Linked DNA regions of Sus scrofa. The protein of the gene in region 2 purifies or fractionates together with the protein of the main gene of each other region. This does not show direct contact. Links are inferred from orthologs where the notes say so. Each region holds a gene or a part of one and is shown on either strand. Other genes may lie near its edges.

What was found. The genes of interacting proteins can lie anywhere in the genome.
Region 1: the proteins of PPP2CA (region 2) and CCT5 purify together in Homo sapiens (affinity purification with mass spectrometry; 4 studies listed by BioGRID and IntAct, with this or other methods). This does not show direct contact. The link is inferred for Sus scrofa from reciprocal best matches to the Homo sapiens genes PPP2CA and CCT5.
Region 3: the proteins of PPP2CA (region 2) and ANKLE2 purify together in Homo sapiens (affinity purification with mass spectrometry; 4 studies listed by BioGRID and IntAct, with this or other methods). This does not show direct contact. The link is inferred for Sus scrofa from reciprocal best matches to the Homo sapiens genes PPP2CA and ANKLE2.
Region 4: the proteins of PPP2CA (region 2) and PRR14L purify together in Homo sapiens (affinity purification with mass spectrometry; 3 studies listed by BioGRID and IntAct, with this or other methods). This does not show direct contact. The link is inferred for Sus scrofa from reciprocal best matches to the Homo sapiens genes PPP2CA and PRR14L.

The regions. Positions count from the first base shown.
Region 1 is NC_010458.4:72,213,203-72,216,702, reverse strand, and holds part of CCT5 (T-complex protein 1 subunit epsilon), read left to right. Parts: intron 1-1,823; coding exon 1,824-1,943; intron 1,944-2,462; coding exon 2,463-2,648; intron 2,649-3,251; coding exon 3,252-3,389; intron 3,390-3,500. UniProt on the Homo sapiens protein: Component of the chaperonin-containing T-complex (TRiC), a molecular chaperone complex that assists the folding of actin, tubulin and other proteins upon ATP hydrolysis.
Region 2 is NC_010444.4:136,502,131-136,505,630, forward strand, and holds part of PPP2CA (serine/threonine-protein phosphatase 2A catalytic subunit alpha isoform), read right to left. Parts: intron 2,696-3,500; coding exon 2,522-2,695; intron 1,381-2,521; coding exon 1,291-1,380; intron 774-1,290; coding exon 612-773; intron 1-611. UniProt on the Homo sapiens protein: Catalytic subunit of protein phosphatase 2A (PP2A), a serine/threonine phosphatase involved in the regulation of a wide variety of enzymes, signal transduction pathways, and cellular events.
Region 3 is NC_010456.5:22,759,135-22,762,634, reverse strand, and holds part of ANKLE2 (ankyrin repeat and LEM domain-containing protein 2), read right to left. Parts: intron 1,472-3,500; coding exon 1,349-1,471; intron 1-1,348. UniProt on the Homo sapiens protein: Involved in mitotic nuclear envelope reassembly by promoting dephosphorylation of BAF/BANF1 during mitotic exit.
Region 4 is NC_010456.5:48,380,241-48,383,740, reverse strand, and holds part of PRR14L (protein PRR14L), read left to right. Parts: intron 1-455; coding exon 456-3,500.

The sequences.
Region 1 (3,500 bases), on a different chromosome or scaffold from region 2:
AATCAGACTAGGTGCGGACATAGTAGTCCCAGGTCTTTGCTGAAACAAGGCTGTTATTCTGTCTATCCTGAACTCTCTCTGGCCGTTGATTTTTTTGTGTGCCTGCTCTCCGGTGGAGCAGGTCCCCGTAGGGCCCCCGTCCTGGGAATTGAGAACACAAGCACTCGGGTGCGTGAACACAGATCTCTCGGGTAGAAGGTCATCTTAGCGAACAGACCAGGCGCTGTTTCGGTGTTTGGAGCAGGAGGGTCAGTTGAGTTAGTTTTCGTTTTCATGGTGCCGTCCTCTGCCTGATGTGTGCCAGCAGAGTTGAGGGCGCTGGGCATGTGGCAGTGAGCAAAACAGTGCTTGCTCTTGGGCTGCGGAGTCGGGGGAAAGCAGGTGGGATCTGGGTTACAGACACAGGTCAAGGGCCTCTCTAAGGAGACCTCGGGGAAGTGAGAGCAGCGTGTCTGGGCGAGGAGTGTTCCAGGCTGCCAGGGGGTGTGGGCAGCGTGTACGGAGGAGGCCCTGAGGCCGGGGTCAGCAAGCCGGAGGGCTTGGGGAGCTGGCAGAGGGTTATAAGCAAAAGGTGGTTTTCTGGGCTACAGGGTGGCCGACGTGCCCAAGAGGAAAAGGTGACAGGAACTAAGATGCCGAGGGTGTGCGTGGATCACGTTGATAGATGTGCGGGTGGCTGGGAGTGGTGACAGGGATTCTGAGGAACCCAGAGAGGAACACTGGGGGCTGCAGGAGCGGGAGGGGCCTCTGCTAGTGTGAGCATGTGGCAGGAAAAGAGCCATTTGTGAGAATGCCAGGGCATGTGTGTGTTTCAGGGGACAGCTAGTGTTCACGGCAAGGATATAAAGGAGATGTCTTCCAGAAGGAGTTCAGTAACGCACCGATTCCAGAGGTGCAGGGGTAGAGCGCCCGGTGTGGTGAGAAGAGACAGGTGAAATGCTGGTTGTGGGATACGGTGTGGTTACGGCAGCTGATCCCTGCGGGAGGGGTTGACGGTTCTGATCACTGACGCCTTCCTGGGACAAGTCACTTAGCCACTTGTTGAGGTGGGGGGGTTTCTTAACAGAAGCAGGATCGTCCCGTCTGCCCCATAATTAGTCTGTATCTTGATAGCCACAGGGGCAAAGTGGGAAAAGCAAGTTGCAGGAAGATGTGTCATAAAGTGGAGGGTTTGTAAGCATGCATATGGATCAGCTGCTTCATGGGGGTTTGTGCCGGGACAGAGCTGCCGGCTTTGGTTTCTCAGCTCCCAGTTGTGGGGGCGGGTTGCCCTGCTGTCCTGTGTTGCTTCACTGGCATTGAGCGTGAATTACTACTGTTCAAAGCTTTGCTTACAAATGACATGATTCCAAAGTTCCCTGTGGCTCAGCCGGTTAAGGATCCCACGTTGTGGCTGTAGTGGCTAAGGTCACTGCTGTGGCGCAGGTTCAATCCCTGGTCTGGGAACTTCCACGTGCTACGGTGCGTGTCCAAAAAAAATAAATAAATGAGGTGATTCCCCTTGATACATACATGTTCATTGTTTAGAGTTTGGAGCAGACAGGAAGACATTTATTTTCTTTGTCATGGTCTTCTTTGTGCTTTATTTTTTCCTTGTGGGTTCATTCATTTGTTGGATTACACAGTGTTTGACGTGTGATAATAAATCCATCTGTGCCCTGCTGCCATCGTGTGTGAGATGGCAGGAGATGAGGCCAGTGCTGTGTTTTGTTTGAATGCACCCATCTTACACATTGTTATGTTTCTCACCTGTTTTCAGTGTTTTCCTACATTAGAGGACAAAGAATACTGTGTTTTTAACATGGTGATGTATCTTTTCCCAGATTAAGGAAACTGGCGCTAACCTAGCTATCTGCCAATGGGGATTTGACGATGAAGCAAATCATTTACTTCTTCAGAATAACTTGCCTGCGGTTCGTTGGGTTGGAGGCCCTGAAATCGAGGTAGGAAGCTCCCTGTGCAGAGTGGGACGGGGTCGAGCTTAGGATGCACATGCATTTGAGGCGCTGTGCCCGTGCTGGCCGTCAGGCACCACCTTGTGCCACGGCTCTACTGTTTTATATGTCTTTGGTGGTTTGTGGCATTTTGAAATGCTTTCCTGTGTCGCCTCAGTGGCTGTCTGAGGCAGGAAGACTGGTTGACCACTTCTGGGTCAGCCAGATAAATACTAAGAGCCACTCCAGACACGGTCTGTACCCCCAGCCCACGGGGGTTCAGGCGTGTGTGGCCCGATTCAGAGGTGCGGTCAGCTGTGTGCTCTGTGCTGGAACCCTGGAACCTGACCAGGGCCAGGCCCATCTCTTCAAAACCTTGACCCTTCAACAAGGCTTTGGGGCTGGACTTTGATTTGGGTGGGCCAGCAGTTCTGGTGAACAGTGACCGTGGGTCCGGTTGGGCTCTTTTACGAGCTGGTTTTGAGAGGCCCGGCTCAGCAGCCGACTTCCTCCCCTGCCCACGGTCAGTTGATCGCCATCGCCACCGGGGGGCGCATCGTGCCGCGGTTCTCGGAGCTCACGCCGGAGAAGCTGGGCTTCGCGGGGCTGGTGAAGGAGATCTCGTTCGGGACGACCAAGGACAAGATGCTGGTCATCGAGCAGTGTAAGAACTCCAGAGCCGTCACCATCTTCATCAGAGGAGGAAACAAGATGGTGAGAACTCAGCTCTGTCCTTTGCTGGTGCTGAAACGTGGTTTGGCTTTTGGCACACGGAGTTAACTGAGGCAGTTTCCGTAAGAAAGAAAAGGTCGTCTTTTTTGGAGAAGCAGTGACATGACCTGTCGTCAGACCCCTGGAGACTGTCCCACTTTCAGGTGTATGAGGGACACTTCCTTTCTTCAGTCCCTCAAGCAGAAACGGGAACCCAATCCCTAACCGTTGGCGCTGTCTCCGTGCTCCAGGCGTGGACGCCAGTGCGTCGTGGTGAATGAGGCTCATTGTGAGGCTCTCTTTACCAGTTTTATTTTGCCCGGCCCCTTGACTTGGTCGTGAGTCCTGGAAATGAGTCCCTGGCTGCCTCTCCCTGTTGTTAAAACAACTGCATCCTAGGAAAAGTAAGATGAAGGTGGGAACCATCCGAGGGTGGGCAGTATTCCGGCGGTGTTCCCTCCGTTTGTTCTTAGCCAGGCGCCCTCCCGGGGCCGGGCCGGGCCGTTTCCAGGACCAGCAAGCGCTGAGGTTAAACCAGGTGCACAGTATTGGGCTCTGAATGATGAGATCACAGTCACATTGACCGCCACGAAACCGTTTCCCCAGATCATCGAGGAGGCCAAGCGATCCCTTCATGACGCTCTGTGTGTCATCCGGAACCTCATCCGCGACAACCGCGTGGTCTACGGCGGCGGCGCTGCTGAGATCGCCTGCGCCCTGGCGGTCAGCCAGGAGGCAGACAAGGTGAAGCGCGGGGACCGCGGCGGGCGAGGCGGGGCGCTGGGCTCCAGGTGCTCCATCCCGGTTGGTTCTCCTGCCCGTGTGGGAACATAAAGTGCGGCGGCACCTTCTGCA
Region 2 (3,500 bases):
GATCAGACCCAAGCTATAGTGGCAACCTATGCCACAGCTGTCGAAATGCTGGATCCTTTAACTCACTATGCCATGCAGGTTATAAAACATGCATCCTGGTGCTGCAGAAATGCTGGTATTCCCACTTTGCCACAGGGGGAACTCCTTGAGGTTTTATTCTAGTGGGCATCTAGCCATAAGACATGCTATAATGGCAAACTCATCAGAAAAATACACGGCATGTTCTCATTAATATATTAATAAATCATATAATTTAAAATATATTAACATAACATAAAATCCCTAACATCTTCCTCAAGTTTACTTAAAAAGCAAATCAAGGAGTTCCCTTCGTGGCGCAACAGAAATGAATCTGACTAGGAACCATGAGGTTGCATGTTCGATCCCTGGCCTTGCTGAGTGGGTTAAGGATCCAGCATTGCTGTGAGCTGTGGTGTAGGTCCCAGACACGGCTCGGATGCTGAGTTGTTGTGACTCTGGTGTAGGCCGGTGGCTACAGCTCCGATTGACCCCTAGCCTGGGAACCTCCATATGCCAAAGGAGTGGCCCTAGAAAAGACGAAAAAATAAATAAATAAAAAAGCAAATCAAGCATCAAAATACAGAACATACCTCCATCACGAGCTGATGAGCTCTGGACACCAACGTGAGGCCATTGGCATGATTAAATGTCTCGGAAATATCTTGCCCAAAAGTGTAACCAGCTCCTCGAGGAGATATACCCCAACCTCCACGGTCATCTGGATCTGACCACAGCAAGTCACACATTGGACCCTAAAAAGCAAGTTAAGTTTTAGACCACCTCTTGCAAACCTGGTTAAATACATGATCTGAGTAATTCATCAGAAGCTGCGCCCTCCTAAGTCACACTTTCTGAATGATGTTTGCTGAAAACGGTAAAAGGATTTGCAGACTGCGTCAAATATTTGGGTCAAGTAAATAAGAAACTATTTTCAAATGTTTTTAACAGGCACAGCCTACATCAATAAGTCCCAAGAGCAACAAGCCCATACTAATTAATCTGCCTTTAGGATGCAAATTTCAATGTTAGGCAGTAGAGTTTAGAAATTAAGACAGAAGCTGTAAAGACAACCACCACCTAGGTCCTAAACCCAATCGCAAAGCAACCGTGATCTCAGCAGTTTTCTTAATGTTAGCGTCGGAAGAATGAGGTCAACAAGAATGCTCACACCACATGGGATCGTTTTTGAGAATTAAACAAGAAAATACTTGTAATTAAGTCACAATTAAACATTTCCTCTAATGTTTCTTGAAAAGAAAGCATCAATACCTCATGGGGAACTTCTTGCAGGCGATCAAGTGCTCTGATGTGATCCAGTGTATCTATGGATGGTGAGAGGCCACCATGTAGACAGAAGATCTGAAAAGAGTGGTTTACAATGTTACCCTCATCTAAAATAAACCGTAAACATTCTGGACTAAGCTGCAGGCAGCAGACCACATCACTTGGCCCAACTGGTGTTTCGGCATTCTGCCAGAACTAGAACTAGGCTTATTTCTGCAGGGTCTTTTTTTCTTCCACCCCATTTCACTTTAATGTTTTTATTTTTATTCCCCATCTTTTTGCCTTTTCTAGGGCCGCACCGAGGCATGTGGAGGTTCCCAGATTAGGGGTCTAATCGGAGCTGTAGATGCCGGCCTACACCACAGCCACATCTTCGACCTACGCCACAGCTCATGGCAACGCCGGATACTTAACCCACTGAACAAGGCCAGGGATCGAACCCTCAACCTCATGGATCCTAGTTGGATTCGTTAACCACTGCGCTATGATGGGAACTCCATCCCACTTTAAACTATGGAATACACTCCCATTCTTCCTGAACTATTCCTACTGCACCCAAACTTAAACCAACTCTTTTAAGAAAAAACATTTCTCTGATTTTACCTTCATCATAGACTATTATCTTCCTCTCCACAGAATTTCCTGGGAATTTTTTGGTGCATTTCTCAAGATCCGTAAATGGCTAATTACATCCCTCACCCTGACCCCCACGCCGACATGTCCACAAACAGCTGAAGAGAATGGATGGGCTACATCTTCCACCCCTGTGGTCCCAACATACAGTTCAGTGCCTGACATAAAGAAGGCACGTCAAAAAAAGCCCCAAAGGGAAGTGAGGATGGAAAAATGACTTATTGCCACCTAAATGCTAAGAAAGCATATTCTAGAAAATAATCAGCAGTAAGGTTTTTTTTGTTTTTTTTTTTTTGGGGGGGGGGGTCTTTTTGCCATTTCTTGGGCCGCTCCCATGGCATATGGAGGTTCCCAGGTTAGGGGTTGAATCGGAGCTGTAGCCACCAGCCTACACTACAGCCACAGCAATGCGAGATCCGAGCCGCGTCTGCAACCTACACCACAGCTCACGGCCACACCAGATCCTTAACCAACTGTGCAAGGCCAGGGACCGAACCTGAAACCTCATGGTTCTTAGTTGGATTCGTTAACCACTGTGCCACGAAAGGAACCCCAGCAATAAGTTTTAAGAAGACCTACATACCTGCCCATCCACTAATGCAGTGAGAGGAAGATAATCAAAAAGATCTGTAAAATATTTCCAAACATTTGCATTTCCATATTTCCTTAAACACTCATCATAGAAACCATATACTTGTGTGATCTGTCTGCTCTCATGATTTCCTCGAAGAATGGTGATGCGTTCACGGTAACGAACCTGAAATGACAAAGAGGAAAACAACATAAACAACTGGATCCTTCGAAAACCAAATGACAACCCAATAAGCTTTCTACGGGAAAATACAGTTTCAGTTATGTTCAAAAACACCCCACCCTGCCCTCAAACACAAACACACCCACCCACCCTCCATATCACACAGAACTGAACAGATATTCATCCCATGGGGTATCTGCCAATCCCATCCATGTCAATTAAAATCAAATTTCACCAACTTTATGCCAAGCATAATCATCGGCTGCACAACTCCATCCATGAGTTTTGTTATAGTTACACAACAACCATCGCATTCCCGTTTTAGAACTTTTCCATTAACCCAGAAAGATCCTGCATGCCTGCTGGCAATCACTCCTGACTCCCACGCAGTAACCACTGATAGTGTCTCTTGAGATTTGCTTTCTCTAGAAATGGAATCATACAATATGTAGTTTTTTGGTGTGTAACTGGCTTCCTATATTTAGTAGAATATTTCTGAGACTCATCTCTGTATGGATCAGTGATCTGTCTCTTTTTATTACTGCACAGTATTCCACTGTGTGGCAATACTAGATATATAACATGTACGTATGTTTTTTGTTGTTTTTTTCCCCCACCAGTAGGCTGAACATCTGGGTTGCCTGCAGTTTGGGGCTATTATGAATAACGTTGCCGTGATCATACTTCATGCAAAAAGTCTCTGTATGCTCTATGCTTTCATTTTTCTTTGTTCTAATCTCTCCAACAAACTAACGCATCGTGTAACAAACCTAACTGATAAAAGCCATTCTAATGGGTCTGATTTTGA
Region 3 (3,500 bases), on a different chromosome or scaffold from region 2:
GTTTATGCAAAATAATAGCAATTTCTAAGCCATAGAATTGCCTGGCAAATTTTATTCTTTTTATGTGTATTCTATAATTTCTACAGATGTGGGCATTACTTCTGTATCATAGCAACTACAAAGGAGGCGCTCGCTCCAGAACAGGACCACACATATTCTATCTCTAAAGGGCTGGCAGGCCCAGGCCAGTAACAGCTCTAACGCGTGGGACAAATTAACCCATTTTCTGTTTCTGTTTAGGTCCACCTCCCTCACCACCTCACTGCACAGAGGCACCTCTGCCCTCTCTAAGGTGCATTTTACTCAACTGCCAATATAGATCATGACAAGGCCTGCTTCATAAGGCTAGAATGGGGCAGATAAGAATACATAGGAGGGGCTTAGGCAGCACCTGTTGCACAGTGAGCTGAACACACTGTCAGCTACTTTCAACGTCCACCTCATCATCGCCAAGTTCCCTCAATGATCCCTACCTCCACCCTCCTCACCACCACCGTCTTTATTCCAGTGATCCCCACCACCATCCTCCTCACTGTCACCATTTCCTTGAACACCACCATCCTCCTCACCACCACCGCCATCACCCTCAACACCACCTCCTCTGTTCTCTCCGATGCTGAGCATGCACAGAGGGAACTTGATAAAAGACAAAGGGAGCTGTTGAGAACAACCTCAACACGTGTCAGGAAAATAAAAGCTGCAAACGGGGAAAGTTATTCCCCCTGGGGTCTGCAGACGCATCTTCTTCAGAGTCCCTCTTACTTTAACAATTGGGGTTCTAAGATGTGCCCATGGGGCAAACACAGTCACAAAGTCAGAGTTACTTCTGACCTCACAGGGGCCGTGACTGCGAACTGTAATTTTACATATTTTCATTACTAACACCATGTAGTAATAGCATTTTACTTATTTATTTCCTTATTTATTTTTGGCCGCATCCATGGAATACAGAAGTTCCCAGGCCAGGAGTTCCTGTCGTGGTGCAGTGGTTAAACGAATCCGACTAGGAACCATGAGGTTGCGGGTTCGATTCCTGCCCTTGCTCAGTGGGTTAAGGATCCGGCGTTACCGTGAGTGTGGTGTAGGTTGCAGACGCGGCTCAAATCCTGCGTTGCTGTGGCCGGTGGCTACAGCTCCGATTAGACCCCTAGCCTGGGAACCTCCATATGCCGTGGGAGCGGCTCAAGAAAAGGGAAAAAGACCAAAAAAAAAAAAAAAAAAAAGTTCCCAGGTGAAAGATGAAACCAGTACTACAGCTGTAACCAGAGCCATAGCAGTGACAACACTGGATTCTTAACCCGATGAGCCACAAGGGAACTCCAGTAATAGCATTTTAATAGGTACTTACATCTTCAGGTGTTTTATCATATTTATTCCTTGGGTTTTTTACAATCAAAGGGTGTGAGGAAAGCACATTGACCACATCTGCATTCCCAAACTTGCAAGCAAAATGCAATGGTGTGTCGTAGCCCTGAGAGAGATGCAAAGGAAGAACATTTATTTCTTAAATATACTTTTTCGTCTCATAAGGTTGTTTTAAGACTAAAAAAAGCCCAATCAAACAAAACTCCTCAAAAATAAAAGACCATAAAAAGACAATGTTTTTATAACTAAAATGTAACTGGCACACTAGCACACACCCCAGCACAGCACCTCACTTACTGTGTATCTCGTGCCCTGGGGAGCTTACAACAGAGCTGAGGTGACACCTGCTCAGCAAAGAGTGGCTTCAACAATGCAGAGCCCAGGACAATGTCTTAAAACCAATGCTCAAGAAGCAAAATAAACAGATGAAGGAAACATCCAAAATGAAGCAAAGGCCATGAATTGGTCTGTACCTAAAACTCTCTTTACTGGCTCATCCTCCAGTAAATGAAACTTGCCCCTCCTGATTTCTTGGTATTTTTCGATGTTGACCCGCCCCTGCTGGTACCCTCCGCATGCCAGCTCCCCACAGCTGCTGCCACAGGCTTGGATGCAGAATGTCCAAAACAGAGCCCACTCATGGTTACCAGAGCATGGCCTGCAAGCCACATGCAGCTACTGCAGTCCCAGCTTCAGCACCACCCCTCCCTCAAGCCACCCTGGCTGCGTCCCTCTGCTTCTCACCCAGGCTGTCTGCACTCAACACCCCCAGCTCCAGTCCAGTCCCCTCCACTGGGCGGCCCCAGGGAGCTCAGCTCCTTCGCTATGCCACATACCCTCTAGGGCCATCTCATCCCCTCAGACAACTTATGTGTCTGACGACACTACCGCTTGCTCTGCTCACTCTCCCGCACAACCTGTCCCCTGTCCAGGGTTGGTGAGCTTACTCAGTTCAGGGAGCATGGTAAACACCTGGGGTTTCGCAAGCCATCTAGCTCTGCCTCAGTCATCCTACTCCACTCTTCTCTGTAGCTGTGCACAGAGAATGAGCAGAGTTGTGTTCCAATAAAGTTCCCTCTCTTTTTTTTTCCTTTTTAGGGCCACATCTAAAGAATATGGAAGTTCTAGGCTAGGGGTTGAATCAGAGCTGTAGCTGCTGGCCTAAGCACTTACCCTTATTCATTCAGTTTGTTCACACTTAGTCTGATACGCTGATTTTGCCCCTTCTATCCTATTTCATGCTTACTATTACTTTTATATAACTGCTGATTCCTCTTTAGGCCCACTCTAATTTTGCTAAATTTAGTAGTTATTCTTGCTTTCCAATTCCGCAGTTCAATGTACCATATGCACTATGTGTTACAAAATAATATATTACAACCCTAATTTTTTTTTTTTGGCCCTGCCCGTGGCACATAGATCAAACCCATGCACCACAGCAGCAGTGACCTGAGCCACAGCACTGACAACACCAGGTCCTTAACCTACTGAGCCACCAGGGAGCTCCTCCAATATGCTTTTCATTTATTTATTTTTTTTGGTCTTTCTAGGGCTGCACCCTAGGCATATGGAAGTTCCCAGGCTAGGGGTCGAATTGGAGCTGCAGCTGCCAGCCTATACCACAGCTCATGGCAATCCCAAATCCTTAACCCACTGAACAAGGCCAGAGTCCTCATGGATACTAGTCAGATTCATTTCTACTGAGCCACCATGGGAACTGCTCCAATATGCTTTTTATTTTTTATTTTATTTTATTTTTTGTCTTTTTGCCTTTCTGGGGCAGCTCCCACGGCATATGGAGGTTCCCAGACTAGGGGTCTAATCGGAGCTGTACCTGCCAGCCTACACCAGAGCCACAGCAACGTGGGATTTGAGCCGTGACTACAACCTACACCATAGCTCACGGCAACACCGGATCCTTAACCCACTGAGCAAGGCCAGGGATCGAACCCACAACCTCATGGTTCCTAGTTGGATTCGTTAACCACTGCGCCACAACAGGAACTCCTCCAATATGCTTTTTAAATTCCCTTTCCTGCCAACCACAACTTTTCCAACACCTAGTACAATTCTTGGTTCTCAGCCATGCCTAGGTTTTCCCTTTAGGCACCATTAACCCCCCCCCCTCACTGAAC
Region 4 (3,500 bases), on a different chromosome or scaffold from region 2:
GAATTAGGCATATGTCTTCTCATTATATTCATTTATCCAGCTAAGTAAGTGCATTTAAGAAAGCTACATTTAGAGAGTCCCCTGGTGGTCTAGTAGTTAGGACTCAATGTTTCCCTGCTGCAGCCTAGGTTTGGTCCCTGGTCTGGGAACTAAGATCCCACATCAAGCCATTGCACACCTGGGCTAAAAAAACAAAAAAAAAAGGTGACATTTAAAGAAAAGCATTTGTTCAAAATAACCTGTTTCTTCCAGGTACTTTCTTGGCCCTCTGTCGTATTTTGCAGAAAAGAACAAGCCAATGGTCTTATACCACCAACATGGCAATTCCCTCCTTGAGTTGGTTTTCTTATTGTTTCTTGTTACTTCTGTTTGTTGCATGATTGAATTTATGAAGGTAGAGCAAAGGGTTTGTTTTAATGCTTACGTACTGATTTGGATTTATTTCTCTTGTGCAGAAGGAAATGTACAAATTTCAACTGGCACTCTGCTGAAATCCACGGAAGAAGTTCAAGGTATGAAGGTCAGTGGGCCTAAGATGAATAATAGTGAAGGACACAACAACAGCCATGTGAGTAAAGGTCTCTCGGATGGGTGCAGCAGCTGCCCTGAAGCAGACAAAATCATGACCAGTGCTGAGATTTCTTTAGAACCTTTAAACTTTGTGGACCCTGGATTAATGGAAGCAACTCCTACAGAAAAAGAATGTGAAGAATTAAAAACCTGTCCTTCTTGGTTGCCATTATTACCAGGAAATATTGCCATTTCCACAGTGGACCATGGGAAGGAAGAGTTGTGTAGATTAAATCTTGTCTGTGAAGCAGATGACAATCACCAACAGAATCTTGGCCACCATAACGAGAGATACAGTTCTGTCCATGGCAGTCCCAAAACCACGAAAAGTGTGGTTATTTTAGAACCCTTAGAAGAAAATCCCGAAGTTTCACATTTCACGTCAAGTTTGTCTGGTCCAGAATCCAGAACAGAATCTTCAGACAAGTGTGATTTAGAAGGCGACAGCTTGCCAAAGGGATCTGCTGAAAAGACAGACAAGTCCTGTTTTAATGGGGATGATCAAAGCAAGAATGTGGCTTCTAGAGAAGAAAATGAACAGCCTTTGAGCCCCAGGAGTGAAAGAGAGGAACTCTTTCTTGTTAATGCCAAGCAACTGGAAGAGGATGCTAGCAGTCACTGTTTAGGAAAAAAAGAGACTGTTAACTTCCCCAAAGGCAATATCCATGATAACTGCTGCCCTTTAGGCAGTGTCCATAAAGACTCCTCTAATTCTTTAATGCCTAATTCTTTCACTGAGGCCACAGAAGTAATGTCTAAAAAAAATGATCTTAAAATGACTTTAGACATTCACGGTAGCTTGGCAAACCAAGAGGACCAAGGAGGAACTTTTAGTAACATGAGCCATCCAGGCACAGGCCCTGAAGAGAGCCATTCTTCCTCTTTGATACAGATCGAAGAGCCAGAACACACAGCCACTGCAGAGCCCCATGTGTTAAGAGAAAAAATTTATAGTAAAGACTGTCACTCCATCAGCACCCAGAGAAACCTGGAAGGCAGCACCCAGTCAAACGAAGCATCCCATAATGGATTTCAGATTGAAAGAAAATCCCCTATGAGTCTAACACCAGAGGACCAGATGAGTTCTACAAATGAGGTGTCAAAACCTGAGAAAGACATTGCTCTATCACCGCCATCCCTAGAATGTGATAACAGATCTGAGTCAGAAATGGCTCTACGGAACTCCCAGGATGATAGTTCACAATTAGATAAACAGAGCACTGCCTGGGAGGTGAATGAACTTCTTTGTACCAAAATGGGAAGTGAATGTCTTTTAAATCAAGTGTTCCTTAATTCTCCAAACCACACGAAGTTGCCAACTGACAAAGAGATGCCTGTAGCAGTGAGCAAGGGCTGCCAACAGAGTCAGCGTGCTCCATTAGAGGATTGCGCAGATGTCACTGCTGGTACCCAGACCATTCCTGGGAAGACAAAAATGAAAGACATCTCTCCACCAGGTGACCAAACCTGTGGTACCTCTTCAAACAATTCCACCTTAAATGGCATACCAGGAAGCCTGGAAAGAAAAAGCAAAACAGCTGATTCCAGAGCTACAAATCTATCTTCCAGACTGCTCTCAAATGAGAATGAAGCAGTAGGCTTGCCTCAAGAGGGATCTGCTGTGGAATGTCAAAGTGCTCAATCTCAGGCTCTCTCTAGTTGCCTTTGTGTAAGAAAGCACGTCCCTGATGAGATGTGTTCTGCCTATGTCCTGGAGTCCAGCACAGCCCTGGTGGGAGTTGAGAACTTGCTAACAACCATGTATGAAAATGTATTTCAGTATAGTGACCACCACCCCCAAGGGAAAGAAGGCTCTGTACCCCATAAAGTGAGCTGTACCTTGTTGGAAGGTGAACCGGATGGGGGAGGAACCAAAGGCAGCCTTCCAGGAAGTAAGACCAGAAATGAAATGACTGCAGGCATGTTAAATAGCGAAGCTTCAAACAAAACCATCCCCACCATCCAGCCCAGTGAGAAAGGGCTAGAAGAAAAAGAACAGGATATACCCAAAGAGGCTATGTTTTGTAAACATAACATTTCTGACTGGGCCATACAAGAACCAAACCAACCTTCCAACATTCCAAGTCCTGAAAAATTGTTGGACCAGTTTCCTACTCTTAGGTTCTCCAATGTTAAAATCATGAACCCAACAGCTGACACTCTTGAGCAGAAGGCAGATGGAGCCCTCGACTGCCAGGGCAATCCACACAGACCAGATGAATGCAGAGGTGAGGACAGCCCAGCTAGGGAAACCCTAGGTCGTGACCAGAGAGAGACGGTCACAGAGCCTACCAGAGAGGGGAGCCACCCCCAGAAGGATCTTCCAGTCAGTCCCGGCAGTAATAGCTGCGTGTCTGGTGGAATCGCAAAGAAGGGGGCCTTAAAAAGGATTCCTGGTTGTGAGGCATCCACAGATGGTATGGTGGACGTGTTCCCCCCAGTCTGTAGTAACAAGCCCCCAGAAGGCATTCTGGATGCCACAGCTTCTAGCACACTTACTGGTGGCGCCAGGCGAGATGGACCGATGTCATGTGAGCCTTCAAGGAGCCCATTGCCCCAGACAGGAGAGCTGACCACCATGGTTATGGAAATGATCAACCAGGATTCAGATCACCAGGAGGCCACTTCCTCTACAGCAGAATCTTTCAATGCTGAAAAATCATGTGAAGAGAAAGTATGCAGATCATTAAAAGATTGTGATCTAGAAGTATGTCCAGACTCTTGTGACCATGAGGTGGAGTCTGTTGCGGATCATGAACCAAATGTAAGGATGTTGAGGGGAGTAAATGTGTCTTTAAATTATACTCTTGGTGAACAGCAAGTTAAAGAAGCATCTCTGACAGAAACACAAGGAATGATCGAAGGATCAAGACTAGAAATAAATGCTGAGTGTGGCAAGGAAAATACCACTGGACTTTGCTCAGAAGAGC